Drosophila melanogaster: one gene and its partner. The protein of the gene in region 2 interacts with the protein of the main gene of each other region in a pairwise test. Each region holds a gene or a part of one and is shown on either strand. Other genes may lie near its edges.

Region 1 (7,185 bases), on a different chromosome or scaffold from region 2:
GATAGCCATTCGATGTTGTACTTGATGGTTTCCACGGCCTCCAACCGGGAGTTAGCTCCAGCTCCCGATTCGGGGTACTTGGAGAAGAAGTGCTGAACCTCCTCCAGTTTCACGGAGCTGGCAAAGTTGGCCGTAATCTGGGCGATAAGTCGTCCAAAGTTGCGGTTGTTCAGGCCAAAACGGGTGGTGAGTTGGGGCCACTGTTCGCGGTAGAATTCCCAGACCACCGGTTCACCCACAGGATTGGCGGCTATGTACTGCACACAGGTGAAATAGTCCTGGGAGCGAACGATGCTCTCATCACTGGAGGCCTGTGCCAGGAAGTCGAACAGATACTGGCTGTTCCGTACGCCAGACAATCCGTACATCAGCTTCAGTTTCTCGCTGGCATCGGTTTCGGCCACAAAGAGTTGGAACAACTGATCCCAGCTCGATTGGCTGGTGGACTGCTGCATGCCGTAGTAGTAGACAATCTCGCGAAGATCGGGGGAAGGTCGAGTGGTCGGATTCTCCAGGAAGGTGCTGAAGCGCTCGGAAGCCTGCTGCAGACAATCTGGAACACCCAGGGCACAGGCGGCGGTCAAAATGGAAACACGCAGGCGGCTGCAAAGGAATAAAGATTGTTTGAATAACAGTAGTTTGAGTAATGTTTTCAGAAAAACAAGTTGGTACTTATATACGTACTTCTTCAAGTGATTGTCGGCGTCCACAGTCCAACCCACCTCCTCGTATACGCCAGCGATCAGACTTCTGGCATAGGTGAGGTACGACACGTATCCCTCGCTGAACATGAGACTGCGATGGAGCGACCTCAGCTTATTGGAGGCCACATACCAGGGCACGAAGTCGCGCTCCTGGGCCAAGTAAGCGGTCATATCCAGAGGAATTTTGTAGGATAGTTGGTTGGCATCCGCCAGGGCGAAGGCATCGTTCAAAAGATGGCCACGATCGGCGATTTCGAATCGAGCGGGACTGGTGGTTAGCTGCTGGATGAGCAGGGCCCACAGGCTCTCCTCGTAGTTAACCCGATAGTAGCCCGTTTGGTTGACATTCAACTTGATCCACTGCACCTCGCTGGGCACGGCAATACCCACAGAGTCCACATCGTAGTCGTATATGAAGCTGTTCTCTGAACCATCATCAGCAAACCAGGTAATCGGAACACTCCATTTGTATCCGTATGCGCTATCTGAAGGGGCTTCCTCGTAACTGGCTGGATTGGAGAGGAATCGCTGCTGGGTAACCTTAAAACTACCATCTGCAACCTTGGAGACATTCAACACCGGATAACCCATCTGTTCGGTCCAGGTGAGCATCAGTTTCTTGATATCCAAGTCAGTTACCACAGCTTCGACTTCGGTGAGGAAATCGTCGGTCACCGTGTTATTGAACTGATGCTTGACCAGGTAATTGGTCACCGCCTCCTCAAACTTTTCGGCGCCCACAAGTGTCTCCAGCATGCGGATCACGGATCCTCCCTTTTCGTAACTGATGGTGTCGAATATGGCCGTAATTTCATCGGGGCTTTCTACCTTCTGGACAATCGGATGGGATGATAGCTTGGCATCGTATAACAACACGGGTTGCAGGGCCACGATTTGGAATTGCTCCAGCTGATTGGTAAATATAAGATATTTTCTTTGAGGATTCAAATCGGTATTATCCATTTCCTTACCATTCCCCAGTCCGGGTGCACAGCATTGACTCCCTTGTACTGCATGTAGCGGGCGAATCCCTCGTTCAGCCACAGATCGTTCCACCACTTCATGGTGACCAGGTTTCCGAACCACTGGTGTGCAATCTCATGGGCCAGTGTTCCGGCTATCGATTGTTTGTTCGCTGTGGAACTGTAACTGGGATCGTACAGCAGAGCGGTCTCTCTGTAAGTCACCAATCCCCAGTGCTCCATGGCCCCAGATGCAAAGTCGGGAATGGCGGCCATGTCCAGTTTGGTCAGCGGATAGGGCACCTTATAGTACTGAATATAGTACTCCGTGACAGCTTGTCCGAACTCCAGAGCAAACTCGACCTTGTTGATCTGATGCGAGGTGGCATAGGCTTGCATGGAGAAGTCCTCGCCAATTCCGTTGGCCTTCACCGTGGTCGATTGGGAAGCGAAGTCGGACACAATGATGCATACCAGGTAGGTGCTCATCGACACACTCGTCTCGAAGATGGCCTCAGTATAGTCACCCAGATAATTGGATTCCTATTATTTAAATTTTGTTTAACCCATTTAAATTGTTTGTTTACTTGAGCTCACCGTTTGTTGCATGTTGGAAACGGCGTGGTAGGATCCCGATGGATGAACCACTGTAATGGCGAATGTGGCCTTCATGGCTGGTTCATCGAAGCATGGGAAGGCCTGACGCGCGTAAGTGGGTTCGAATTTCGTCGTAGAAATGGTTCTGCATAAGGAAAATATTAATTTATATATTGAAAAAGTATTCAAATAAAAATTCAAAACAAAACAACAAATCCAGATCTGGTCATAAGAACACATTGCATACTTTTGGGCATAACGTAAAAATATCCGAAATACCTGGTAGCTCCTGCCTCGTTTAGATATGTACTGCTGTAGAGACCCACAAGCTTATCCTTCATCTGTCCACCAAAAATGATTCCGAGAGTAATGCTGGCGTCCACCGCCAGCTCTTCCGTCAAAGTTATGATCAGGAACTGACGTTCCTCCTCAAGCTCAAACTTTTCCACCTCTCTATTCAGCACATAGACACTTGTGATATCCAGGAGATATGAGTGCAGAATAATCTGATTAGTGGCCTCCACCACCTTGATGCTGATCCTCTGTTGTCCGGTGAAGTTTCCTGTCTCCAGATCCGGATGCCAGTAGAGCTCGTAGTGCGTGGGCACCAGATTCGTGGGCAGGCGGTAATCCGTCTTCAGGGTTAGATTATGGTAGTAAATGGATTCAACTGATTAGCAAGTGATTACACACCGTATCTTCACGCTTCATGCGAGTGCGGCTCTCTCCGCTCCACTCCTCGAACACATCGATCTTGTCCTGCACATCGCGGAGGTCCCTTTCCAGCTGAGCCTTCTGCACCGCCACCACAACCGTGGCCGTGGCAAAGGCCACCACCGCCCAGGAGAGCACCACCTGCAACCAATAGCCACTGAGGAACATCTTAGCAATCGCACCTGTCGCGAGCGACTAACTAGCGTTAGGTCATTCGAACCAACTCTTACCACTTGTTGCCCAATATTCGATTAGTTGATAGTGTGTGCACTGGAAATGGTTTATGTTCGCTTCGGCGATTGCGATAGTGATTGGCCAAATTGACGCGATTACGGTCAAATGGGCGATAGGGTTAAAGCCAGAGAAAGTGGGAAAATACGGAGCGGTAGGGTATGAATTCGCGTGGCTTATGACACCATAATTGTGCTATGGGTTTAATAACATCATTTAAGCCACTTTTACTCTTTCCCTAACGCAAATCTGTGCTATTGGTAATTAGCCATATTAATTAGATTCTCTCCACATCACTGAGAAAAATAGAAAAAAGATTTTTATTTTACATATTCATTGCTTAATAGAACTATTAAAGATTAAAAGTCTGCGTATATTGCTCAATTTGGTAAATATTTTAGTTTTAAATGACTTTAGATAATTTAAAAGGCGTAACAATAAAACTATAAAATTATATTTCAATCAATTAATGGGGGTTTATCATATATGAAGTAAATTTCCATTGGATGTCAAATTTAGTGCGAAAATTTGGACGTGCAATAAATGTCAATCAAAAGTTTTCGTGTCCAATAGTGGCACCCACCCAAACTTGATTATCAACCCATGTTACCAATCAGTCCAATGGATAATTGCTTATTTATGGAGGTGTAATTTCAGTTTTTCCAATAACTAAGCTTATCTTTATTTCCACTTGTTCGGCAAATTTTTGCTTTATAATGGCAATTAGATGAGTACATGTTTAATGGTAACCATGGTCGCAAGACCACTTCCTTGGACTTTTTACAGTGGCTGCTTGTCCAGCCAGGCGTCCACACCCTCCAGGTTCTCGGCCAGCCAAACAATGTTGTTCTTAACCGTTTCCAGAGCTCTCACCCGGGCAGCTGTGCCGGCTCCAGCTTCCGGATATTTGGCGAAGAATTGCTCCATCTCCTCCAGCTTGGTTTGGGTGCTAAAGCGGGCAGTGATCGAGGGAATCAGGTTGCCCAAATAACGCTCGTTGAGTCCGAATCGGTCCACCAGTCGCTGCCAGTTCTCCCGGACATAGTCCCAAACCAGGGACTCACCAACTGGATTCGCAGAGATGTAGGTAAGGCAGGTGAAGTAGTCCTGACCCCTCACGTATTCCTCGTTCCACGCCAGGTCAATGTAGCGCTGCAAAATCCAGGGAATCTGGATGGCAGACAGGCCATACATCAGTTTGGACTTCTCGCTGGCATCGGATTCGTTGACGAACAGCTCCCAGACTGCATCCCAATCCTCCTGGCTTCCAACGGACTGTATTCCGTAGTAGTAGACAGTTTCACGGACATCGGCCTTTGGACGATCCTCCGGCTTGGCCAGCCATGCGTTGAACTGCTCTCCGGCTTCAGTGAGACAGGATTCCAGACCCAGAGAACAGGCGGCACTCAAAGCAGTGACACGAAGGCGGCTAGAGATGCAGGGGAATGATATAAAAAATACACACATCTCTTAAAGAATCTACCCACTTATCCAAATGATCCTCGCCGACTGTCCAGGTGAGTGCGGTATAGATGGGCTCAATCAAAGCTGTGGCGTACTTCTTGTACTTGGCATAGGTGCTGGTGTAGTAGAGTGTTCTCTTAAGCGAAGTCAGACGGGAAGCAGCCACACTCCAGGGAACATAATCGGTCTCCTTGTCCAAGTATCTGGTCAACTCGAAGGCCGTTGCATAGGGCAACTGAGTGGAATCGGCCAGGGCAAAAGCATCGTTGAGGAGATGAGCGCGATCCACAGAGCCGAATGCACTTGGTTGTACCACCAACTGATCGGCCAGATCATTCCACAGATCGGTATCGTAATTAACGCGATAATAGCCCACCTGATCGGCGTTAAACTTAATCCACTCGACGGCAGCGGGAACAGTTACAGTGACTGTCAAACAAAATATATAACAAGTTAGAGATCAAAGATCTGGGGAGCCGTGCTCCAGCATACAGACGACACCACTTACTTTCGCTCTGGTCATGATAAAACCACAGACGCTGCACCACCGAATCCGAGCTGGTGAAATATGTGATGGGGATCGACCAACGGTAGCTATATAATGTATGTGCGAAATTCGCGATCAGATAGCGTCCAGGCAATAAGTTCTGCACACTCACTTGAATTCCGAGGGCTCGTGATCGGCGTCATAGTCGTTTGGATTGGACAAGAAGCGCTTCTGCGTCAATTTGTATTCCGTATCGGACACCTTTTCGATCGTGACCACTGGCAGACCCATCTGCAAAAAAGGAATGGGGTGTTGAAATATTCGCGAACTTAGAAGTAAACGTCTATGTGTTTACCTGCACCGTCCATGTTAGCATAATCTCTGTGACATTGTATCCCAATTCCAGTTTGTCGATCTCTGTAAAGAAGTTACCCGTTTCCGCCGTGGAGTACTTGTACTCATTTAAATAATTGGTAACCGCCTGGCGGAAGGTTGTCTCCCCCAGGAAATCCTCCAGCATTCGGACGAGAGAGGAACCCTTGGAGTACGTGATGGTATCGAAAATCTCCGTGATCTGGTCCGGATTTTCCACGGTCTGGATTATCGGGTGGGATCCGAGGGTTCCGTCCAAGGTGAGTACGCTGTGCAAAGTGCTCACCGTGAATTGATCGCGCTATTGATATGATATGTAAATAAGTTGGATGTAACCTTAATTAACCTAGGTGCACTTGCCATTTTCCATTCTGGATAGACGGCATCTACGCCCAAGTACTCAACGAAACTAGCAAATCCTTCGTTTAGCCACAGATCGTTCCACCAGTTCATGGTTACTTATGGAAGATAATTGGAGTTACGGTTAAGAATACGAATTCCGATCTATGCAAACCGCCATTTAGCTTACCCAAGTTTCCAAACCACATGTGAGCGAATTCGTGGGCAATTACGCTGGCGATGCGCTGCTTGTTGGTGGCGGAACTCGTGGCTTCGTCGTACAAAAGCGATGTTTCCCTGTAGGTGACCAATCCCCAGTGCTCCATGGCGCCCGAGACGAAGTCGGGAATAGCAGCCATATCGAGTTTGGGCAGCGGATAAGCGATTTGGAAGTAGTCAATGTAGTACTCGATGACTCCCTTGCCAATGGTCACAGCCAGATCCACTTTGTCGAGTTGCTCCGGAGTGGCGTAGACACTCATGGAGAAGGTTTCTCCAATGCCCTTAGTGTCAATGCTCACCTGCTTGTAGGCGAAGTCGGAGACAATAAAGCAGGCCAAGTAAGTGCTCATGGGAACACTTTTTGCAAACGTGACCTCCTGGAAGGCTCCCTGGCTGACACTCGAGTCCACGTTCATGTTGGACAGGGCATGGTAATCCTCCCCAGAAGGATGCACTAGAGTAATGGTGAACTCGGCCTTCAATGCTGGCTCATCAAAGCAGGGAAAAGCCTGGCGAGCGTAGGTGGGTTCGAACTTGGAGGTGGCGATCCACTTGCGGGTCTCATCCTCCTTCACATACGACGAACTGTACAGTCCCACAATCTTGTTGGCCATCGATCCTTCGAATCCAATGTGCAGCCTTACTGTCCTACCTTTTGTCAGTGGTTCGTTCAGCTGGAATATTAAAAATTCCCTCACAGCATCTACTGTTGTCTCCAGGATCTCCAAAGTATCACTGCCAGTATTCATTATGGATACACTCGAAATGTTTAGGTTGAGGGAGTGCAGGACGATCTGGTCGGTGGCCTCTTCAACTGTAATAGTAATCGTCTCCTGTCCACTGAATTCACCAGTTTCGATGTTGGGAAACAGATAGAGATCATAGTGGGTGGGCTTCAGAGTTCCGGGCAGTCGGTAGTCGATTTTTTCGGGGGATGCAGTAGTGCCGGGTTCACTTGTTGAAGCAGTGGAACCAGGTGTCACAGTGCTTCCTGGAGAAGCTGTGCTTCCGGGCTCAGCTGTGCTTCCGGGTTCAGCTGTGCTTCCCGGCTCAGCTGTGCTTCCTGGAGAAGCTGTGCTTCCAGGATTCGCAG
Region 2 (7,185 bases):
CGATTTTTCAGATGACCGTTCATCATGCTCACGTGGTGACTAATTGTGGGCACGGCGCCTGGCACATTGGTCTCCAGATCGTGTAGAATGGCATCCGTTTGCTCGTTCCGCATCATTTGATTACCCAAGTTGGCTGAGTCGTCTATATCATCGGTTTTGTTCAACAAACGCTGGATGTGATTCCGGATGAGACGCTCGAATTCGCGCTGCACTGATGGACTATCCGTGTCTCCATCAACCTGTCAATATATTTATATATATTGTATAAAAATCATTTATTATTTTCGGAATGTTCTTTGGTTACTTACAATCTGCAAACGATTACTGGTATCCAGAATCTTGAGCATGGGCAGAGTTTGCTCACGAAAGAGTTCCAAGCGACGGCGAAAGGAGGAAACCGTATCATCTATACGTCCTCGGCCCAACTGAAGTTTTGAGCAATCCAGCAGGATAATAGGCGGTCGTTGTTTATACTAAGCAATAAAAAAAAGGGAGTAAATTAAAGTTACTTTTAAATTGGGATTTAGCCATCATATAGATTACCTTGTTCTCAAAGTACTTGACTTGCTGCAGGTTTCTGGGATAACCATCTACGATAATTCCAGTTCTATCCCGTAACTGGCGCAGATTGGTTTCCAGCAGCTGATTCAGCGACTTTTCTGGGGCCATATCCCCAGCGGCCAAGGCTTCCTTGACGGCGAAGCTTTCCGTATTGGCACGTGGTGCAGAGTCCGTGATATTGCGCAAAAGACGACCGACACTTAAAAAGTAGTATGCCAGTTTAAGCAAAATTATATAATGAGCACATCCAATGCAACATACCTGATGTGAGCCCAGCCAGGATTTAGTCCCACAGCCTTGAGGCAGAGTGTGGCCTTGTTGCTGCCCGGACCGCCGATCACCCATATAATAGGTGGCAAATCCGATCCGGATTCGTCTGGTCCAGCAGCCTGGCGCAACTTTGGCTGCTGAGTGACCACAACACCGCTGTCATCGTCCGCACTGGTGGTGCCCGTTTTCAGAGCTGTCACGGCTCCATTTGGCCCACCATCCATCCGTTCGATCGCCAAATCTCTGGCCAAAACTGTTCCCGCAGTTTCCGAGGCATTGGTAACGTCGTTGTCTTCTGCAATTTGAGTCCCTTGTTGGGCTTGACTTGGTGCGGTGTCTACGCTAACTATACTGCCGGGTATATCATGTATCCCTCTGCCCATACCTGTAACTCCATTCATAACGGCCTCTTGGTTCTCGAGGGTGCTCAGTATATCGAGGACGGCGGTGCGAAAGTCTTTGTATACCTCTGTGGGCGCACGTTCGCCATTTACCTGTAAAATAAAAAGAAAGCAATTAACATATATTATTGATATGATCATTATTGCAATGCACAAAATACTTACGGCCAACAACATGTCGCTCTGATCGAAATAATCGGCGACTGGCATCACATTTTTAAAGAAATTTTCTAATTCCATTTTGGCTAAGGAGAGTACTACATGACCTAATTTGGCCCCATAATCGATTTGCTTTTGTAGAACCGATTGGCGCCAGGATATAAGAATCACGCCATTCACGACTTGAATCTGAAAGGAAGTAGAAAAAAAAAACCAATCAAAGAAGATTAATTTTTATTTATGACTCCAAATTGTTATGTCCTACTTATGCAATATGTAGGTCTATATACCATAGTTAACGCCATGTGCTTGAAACTCCCCAAGTGCCGTTTGCACCCAGTCTGTCCAATTAGCACTTGCATATATAATATAGGAGTCACCGTAAATCCATGGGAATTATGGCCAAATAAACACACTGTCGCCGACTCATTTGCCAGTTAATTAGTTGAAATAGTTCAGCAGCAATTTACTGGGCAAATAAAGAGTGCGGCAATCAAAATGGCTTCACAATAATTGGGTGAGCTGGTGGGGAAGACAGCGAAAAATAGTCGGTTGCGTGGAAAATTACCTTTTCAGAATACTCGACAACGTCGCGCATGGAGCGTGGATATCCCGATATCAGGTATGCTTTGGCAGCTGGAGCCATTTTCATTTCCAACATCAGCACCTCAGTGACTGTTTTCGACGACAGTTGTGAAAAGTCTTGCATGTCTGTGGGCAAATCATTTAATAGACAATTGGCAACGGATTACGTCGAAAGTGTCTAAAAGTATGCAGCACTATATTATAAAGTAGTTTATATTGCAACAACAGCTGTCTCTCCTCAATAGCATACTTGTATATACCTTCTGTCTTCATTTACCACAGATATCTTACCATTGCCCATTGCATATTGCTGGAGGAGATCCATCATATTGATGTGCGTTACACCGCGTCGCTCCTGCATGAAGGTATCGCAATGGGTGACCTTGCCACTACCGGGGCCGCCTAAAACAAATATCACTGGCACTTTGGGCGGATCGAATTTGATTTTTCCAGCATTTTGCATATCGATAGCGCCGACATTGGTAGAACCCAATCGTCCTGCCGCCGCAGCGGCCTCCAAATCGCCAGCATTTTGGCCATTTCGATTCCGTGTAAGATTCCAATCGTTGCCTGGTTCGCCGGTATCTTGTGCCGCGCTGGCATCTAATTATATTTAAATAAATTATTTTAAATTTACAATAAAATGTAATCGGTCTAAAATACGGAATTTAAATTAAATATTCAATAGAAAGCAATAATATACCAATTCTCCGATTTTTACAGGCAATTTAATGGACTGTATCTCATTAGTTAAGTGTTTTTAAAACCCATGGAGAAGCAACAGTTGACTTCGGCAAAAGCGCAGAAATTTTTCAAACCGGAAACCGGATGTGTTGGCAAGTTAGCGCAAGGAAACCGGGGACCGGAAAAAGGCAAGGGCAGACATAACGTGCCAAGTTGGCATTAGCCATTAGCCAGCCTTCACCGAGGCCGGAAGCAATTTGCCAGGAGTAGGAAATTAGTGACAGAAACCACACGCACTCGATGGGTGGAAGGGAGCTAGGGATCGAAACAAATCGCAAAGCCCATCATTAAAACATGTTTAACAATTATTTAATTGTATGGCAACCGTGTTTAGTATAGAATGGCGTCACCGCTGAATTCATTCATGGAAAATCAGCTGCAGCATGGCGATTCCATAGCATTCAATACCGTACACATACCCCTCTAAATTTCCCCATAGAAATTTTACGTCTGCCCACCCGCGGAACCAGTTCAGTCCTTGTGACATTTTTATTGATTTTCCTGCAGTTTTATTTAATTGACATGTTTTGTTATTGTTGCTATCCCTTTTCGTCTCGGGGATTTCCCCATTTGTATCGCTATTCTTTTTGTTTTTGTGCGTGACGCTAGTTTCAGGATTTATGTGTACTAGCTTCGGTGGTCAACGAACATGTCCAAGGACCTGGCAGCCATGGAGGCCAAAAGAGTCCAAGTTCCGATACAAATTATACCGTTGGGCAAGGTCTCGATTTTGATATAACGCTAGGTGTACACATATAAAAGCAACGTTTTGTCACAGATAATTGTTTTTTCTTTCAATAAATTTCAAGCAAAGTGATTGCAGTAATTTCAATTGAAACTGTCCTTTGAGTTGTGGTCAATTGAATATGTCACCGAGACTAAAAAGAGTTACGTTATGATATGGGGATCATTTTGTAGTCAATTTTTATTTCTGTTCCTATATTGCTTTTAAATTTATATAGTTCATGTAACCAACAATGGTATCCCGAAAGTATGCTGCAAAATAGTTAATATTTTTCAGTGATCAGCTAGAAGCTATTCTATACATGTAGACCGACTTTAATTGATTGCCATTGAAAATTCGTGGTCACAAAAACCCATGAAGTTTCTATACCGTGTTTCACCTGTCGTGTTCGCCTGCGCGACTCATTAGGGTTCTTTTTGTTATCTTTGGCCGTGGAGAGGCAATGCTAATCTTTGATTACAAATCTGCTGCATGTGGCATTACTCACCTGTGTCTAAACAAATACCCATTATCCATTCGGTGGCCAGTATAGCTGAATTTTCGCAATAGTGTTTTCCCTACCGCACACCACCCACACACACTCTAGCCCACACACTTGCAACTTTAAAATGATTATCTCGTTGAAAATAAAAAGTAGAAGAAGGATCAGTTCTCAATGGAAATTGTTTAGAATTCCACAAATGTTTTGCATTCTATAACTTCGACTGTCCATGACTACCGTGAGTGAAATTCGCTCGATATATATTATAAATATGTGTACATTTATTATTGGTATCTCTGGGATACTTGTTCTCGCGCTTTATCGTCGGCAACACGCACCACAACGAACTACATGACGTTGCCGGTTTTAGTGTTTTGATTCCTGCATTAGCCGCGAACTCGACCGATTTGTGTACCGATTTTCGATTTCCGAGTGCGCTACACGGTGCCACAGTTCAGCAGTTCAGCGGTTCAGCGGTTGTGCAGTTCAACAAACCGAGCACGTACAACTCGACGAACGTCCGAAACGAAACTGAGTTTCAGAATTGACAACTGGCTCGGTTTTTAGCTCTACGAGCACCGGTTCCCCTGGTCACTATTCCAATTAATGAATACTTTATGAGCAGCGGTTCCAGCAGTTTCATACCACCAATGCAGTTCCAGTTTGGCGTGGGTGGTCGGGATTTCCTTGTCCTGCCCGATTGGAAGTCTCACGCACGACCTTAGAATACCTATGTGCCCCCATCAGAAATCCACCTCACATGTCTGTGTCATTCATGGGCCGCCATTTGTTTATGCGCTCCAAACAAAGTGTCCTGTGTCCTGGAACCAGCGGTGCGTTTCTCATACATCCTGCACACACATGTGCGGGCTCTCTCGCGTATGTGGCATGGTTTTTAAAACATTTTCCAGGTTTTTTTTGTTTTGTTTTCCGTGCTGGCGTGCTGGTGTCCTGTCGTCTATGCCGTTTGTTGTTGGCGGTAAGCCTTCCGTTTTCATAGGTGTAAATAAATCCTTAGACTTGCAGCTGTTCAAGTCAAGAGACTATATACACCCAGATTATGTGGTTCAAAAAAATAGTTACAGTTCCAAGACTTAAGATTTTCGATTTAAACTAATTGATTTCTGCATTTAAGCAAATATTGCTGAATGATCGAAATTATATACAATATAAGTTTGGATATAAGATATTTTTTAACATTGAAAGCTTTCCTTGTAAGTTATAAAAAAATTCATTTTCTAAATTTAAATAAATAAATAATTAAATATTTTTTATAATTTGAAGTTATGATAAATGTCATTTGGTTCGTTTCGAAAGTGTGTTCACCCATTATGAGTCTGCCATAGGGTATGTGTTCATTGTAAATCACTTTCATGACATCGATGGCGGATAAATTGCGCAGTCATGGCGACCCACAGTGACAAGAGCCCCAAATTGATAAATCCCGTGGGGCGGCGAGTGGTGACATAGGGTTGGATTCCTTATACAGTAGTTGGGAATTGGAACACTGGGCTGTTAGATGTGCAGTGGGCGTGCCTTCAATTAATATTTCACACTATTAATTGACGTTAATTATTTAGTTTACTTCTGGTTGCAGTTCAATGATACCTCTTTTTTTTGGGAGGGAGGGGGGAGGACTAGACGCAATGTGTGGACAGCTGTCAAAATTTCCAAAATGTGTTCAATTAAAATTCTATTGGATTCGCTGGGGGTTTTTTGAAGTTGACACTGGACGGAGGGAACAGGTGTAATAGACCCGTCAAGGACACTCGAAGAAGTTCAAAGCTCAAGGAAACTTCATATCGATCAAATTGGTCTCATATCGATCCATGGACAACCACAGATGCGACGCCTAATTTCTTGGAATTTGTGACATGTCATGTGCCGTCGACACAAGGACGGCAACAACAAAGATAACAACAGCCGAATTGACCAAAACGAACCACCAGCCAACGAACCAATTGACATTGAACCCACACCTGACCAGCAGTTCTGGGTTTGCTTTTCCAGCTTATGCGTAAGGCAAATCCTTGCAATGACCACAGCAGTGGAACTGGGGAACAGCCGCAGCTCGTGTCCCGTGCTCGTCCTTGGGCCCTCTGGGCGGGTCCTTTGGCTATTAAATCCCCTTTTCAAGCTTAATTAAGGCTACGCGTTTTGGCCAACGTGTGTACACAATGACAGACGGGGGCGGCCAACTTAGGGTTAAGCAACTCGAACCGAACATCTGTGATTAAGGACACTGGCTAAGGAGACCCTTTGTTGGCGTAAAGTGCGTTGAAAGGATGAGAAATTATGAAAACACCAACAATCGAATTATATGTGCTGTCCAATAAATTATTTGAGCACATCCGAAAAAAAAGGGTGAGATATATATTGATGATATATACCAGTACGTCATGTAAAATAATTATTTTGTCATAATTTGAACTTAAGCCACAACTCATTTGGTTTAAAAAACAAGGGTTCCGTTAAGTTGAATTGATCTATTTATATAATTGGATGAAACTAACAATGAAAATCTCTTGGCACCTGAGCGAGCATTTATAAATAGATGCCCCACAATCAGAATTACTTCAGTCCTTGCCGGTTTATTAACTCTGAACTGAATGTCCTTCAGGGCCTATTTGGGCCTAATGCGGCCATTCAAAGGTGATTAGGGGCTTGAGTAAAATATTTACACATCTCGTACAACCAGCCACACTACTAATTGGCTTAGAATTTCTTTTTTTTTTTTTTTTGATACCCATGCACCTTGAGCCATCCTGATATGGTCAGATATAAATTCTTAATTATCAACTGTGAAGTTCCCAAAGGCGGGCGTGTCAAACGAATTGAAAAACCCCGATGGCTATTGGGTACATTCATGCTTTCCTTTTCGAACTTTTAACTATTTGAATTTTTGATCAGAATTCTTAAGCATGTTTTTTGTTTAAGTATAAATATTGATTCCGCCGAAGGACATAGACCGGGTTTTACCTTCAAATGCCGTTAAGCAACAATACTCCGCAGAACGAATTTATTTACTTAACATAAAACAGTATAATATAATATCACTGGTCATAAATTCTACAAGTTGATTTGACTAAATACTACCGACTAAATTGTGCACTTCAACGATTAGCCTTTATTCGACAGTTAGCCAGTGGGCAAATAAGCCTGATTCTCATAGCCAGCGAAATTGCCCAATACCATTGATATGCGAGATGGTGAGTGCTGAATTCCATTTCCGGATTTAT

Evidence for each region.
Region 1: the proteins of CG9541 (region 2) and CG8774 interact in a two-hybrid assay, tested with the Drosophila melanogaster proteins (one large-scale study listed by BioGRID).

Annotation. Positions count from the first base shown.
Region 1 is NT_033777.3:13,294,974-13,302,158, reverse strand, and holds the start of CG8774 (uncharacterized protein), read right to left. Parts: upstream 3,180-7,185; 5' UTR 3,146-3,179; coding exon 2,957-3,145; intron 2,899-2,956; coding exon 2,543-2,898; intron 2,409-2,542; coding exon 2,264-2,408; intron 2,210-2,263; coding exon 1,676-2,209; intron 1,614-1,675; coding exon 685-1,613; intron 604-684; coding exon 1-603. Other genes in the region: CG8773 (uncharacterized protein), read right to left, coding at 3,989-4,637, 4,696-5,101, 5,181-5,266, 5,332-5,450, 5,515-5,832, 5,892-5,989, 6,061-7,185.
Region 2 is NT_033779.5:8,970,958-8,978,142, forward strand, and holds the start of CG9541 (uncharacterized protein), read right to left. Parts: upstream 4,020-7,185; 5' UTR 3,975-4,019; coding exon 3,953-3,974; intron 2,580-3,952; coding exon 2,268-2,579; intron 2,103-2,267; coding exon 1,960-2,102; intron 1,581-1,959; coding exon 1,398-1,580; intron 1,326-1,397; coding exon 823-1,325; intron 761-822; coding exon 544-760; intron 474-543; coding exon 309-473; intron 240-308; coding exon 1-239. Other genes in the region: CG13101 (uncharacterized protein), read right to left, coding at 7,085-7,185.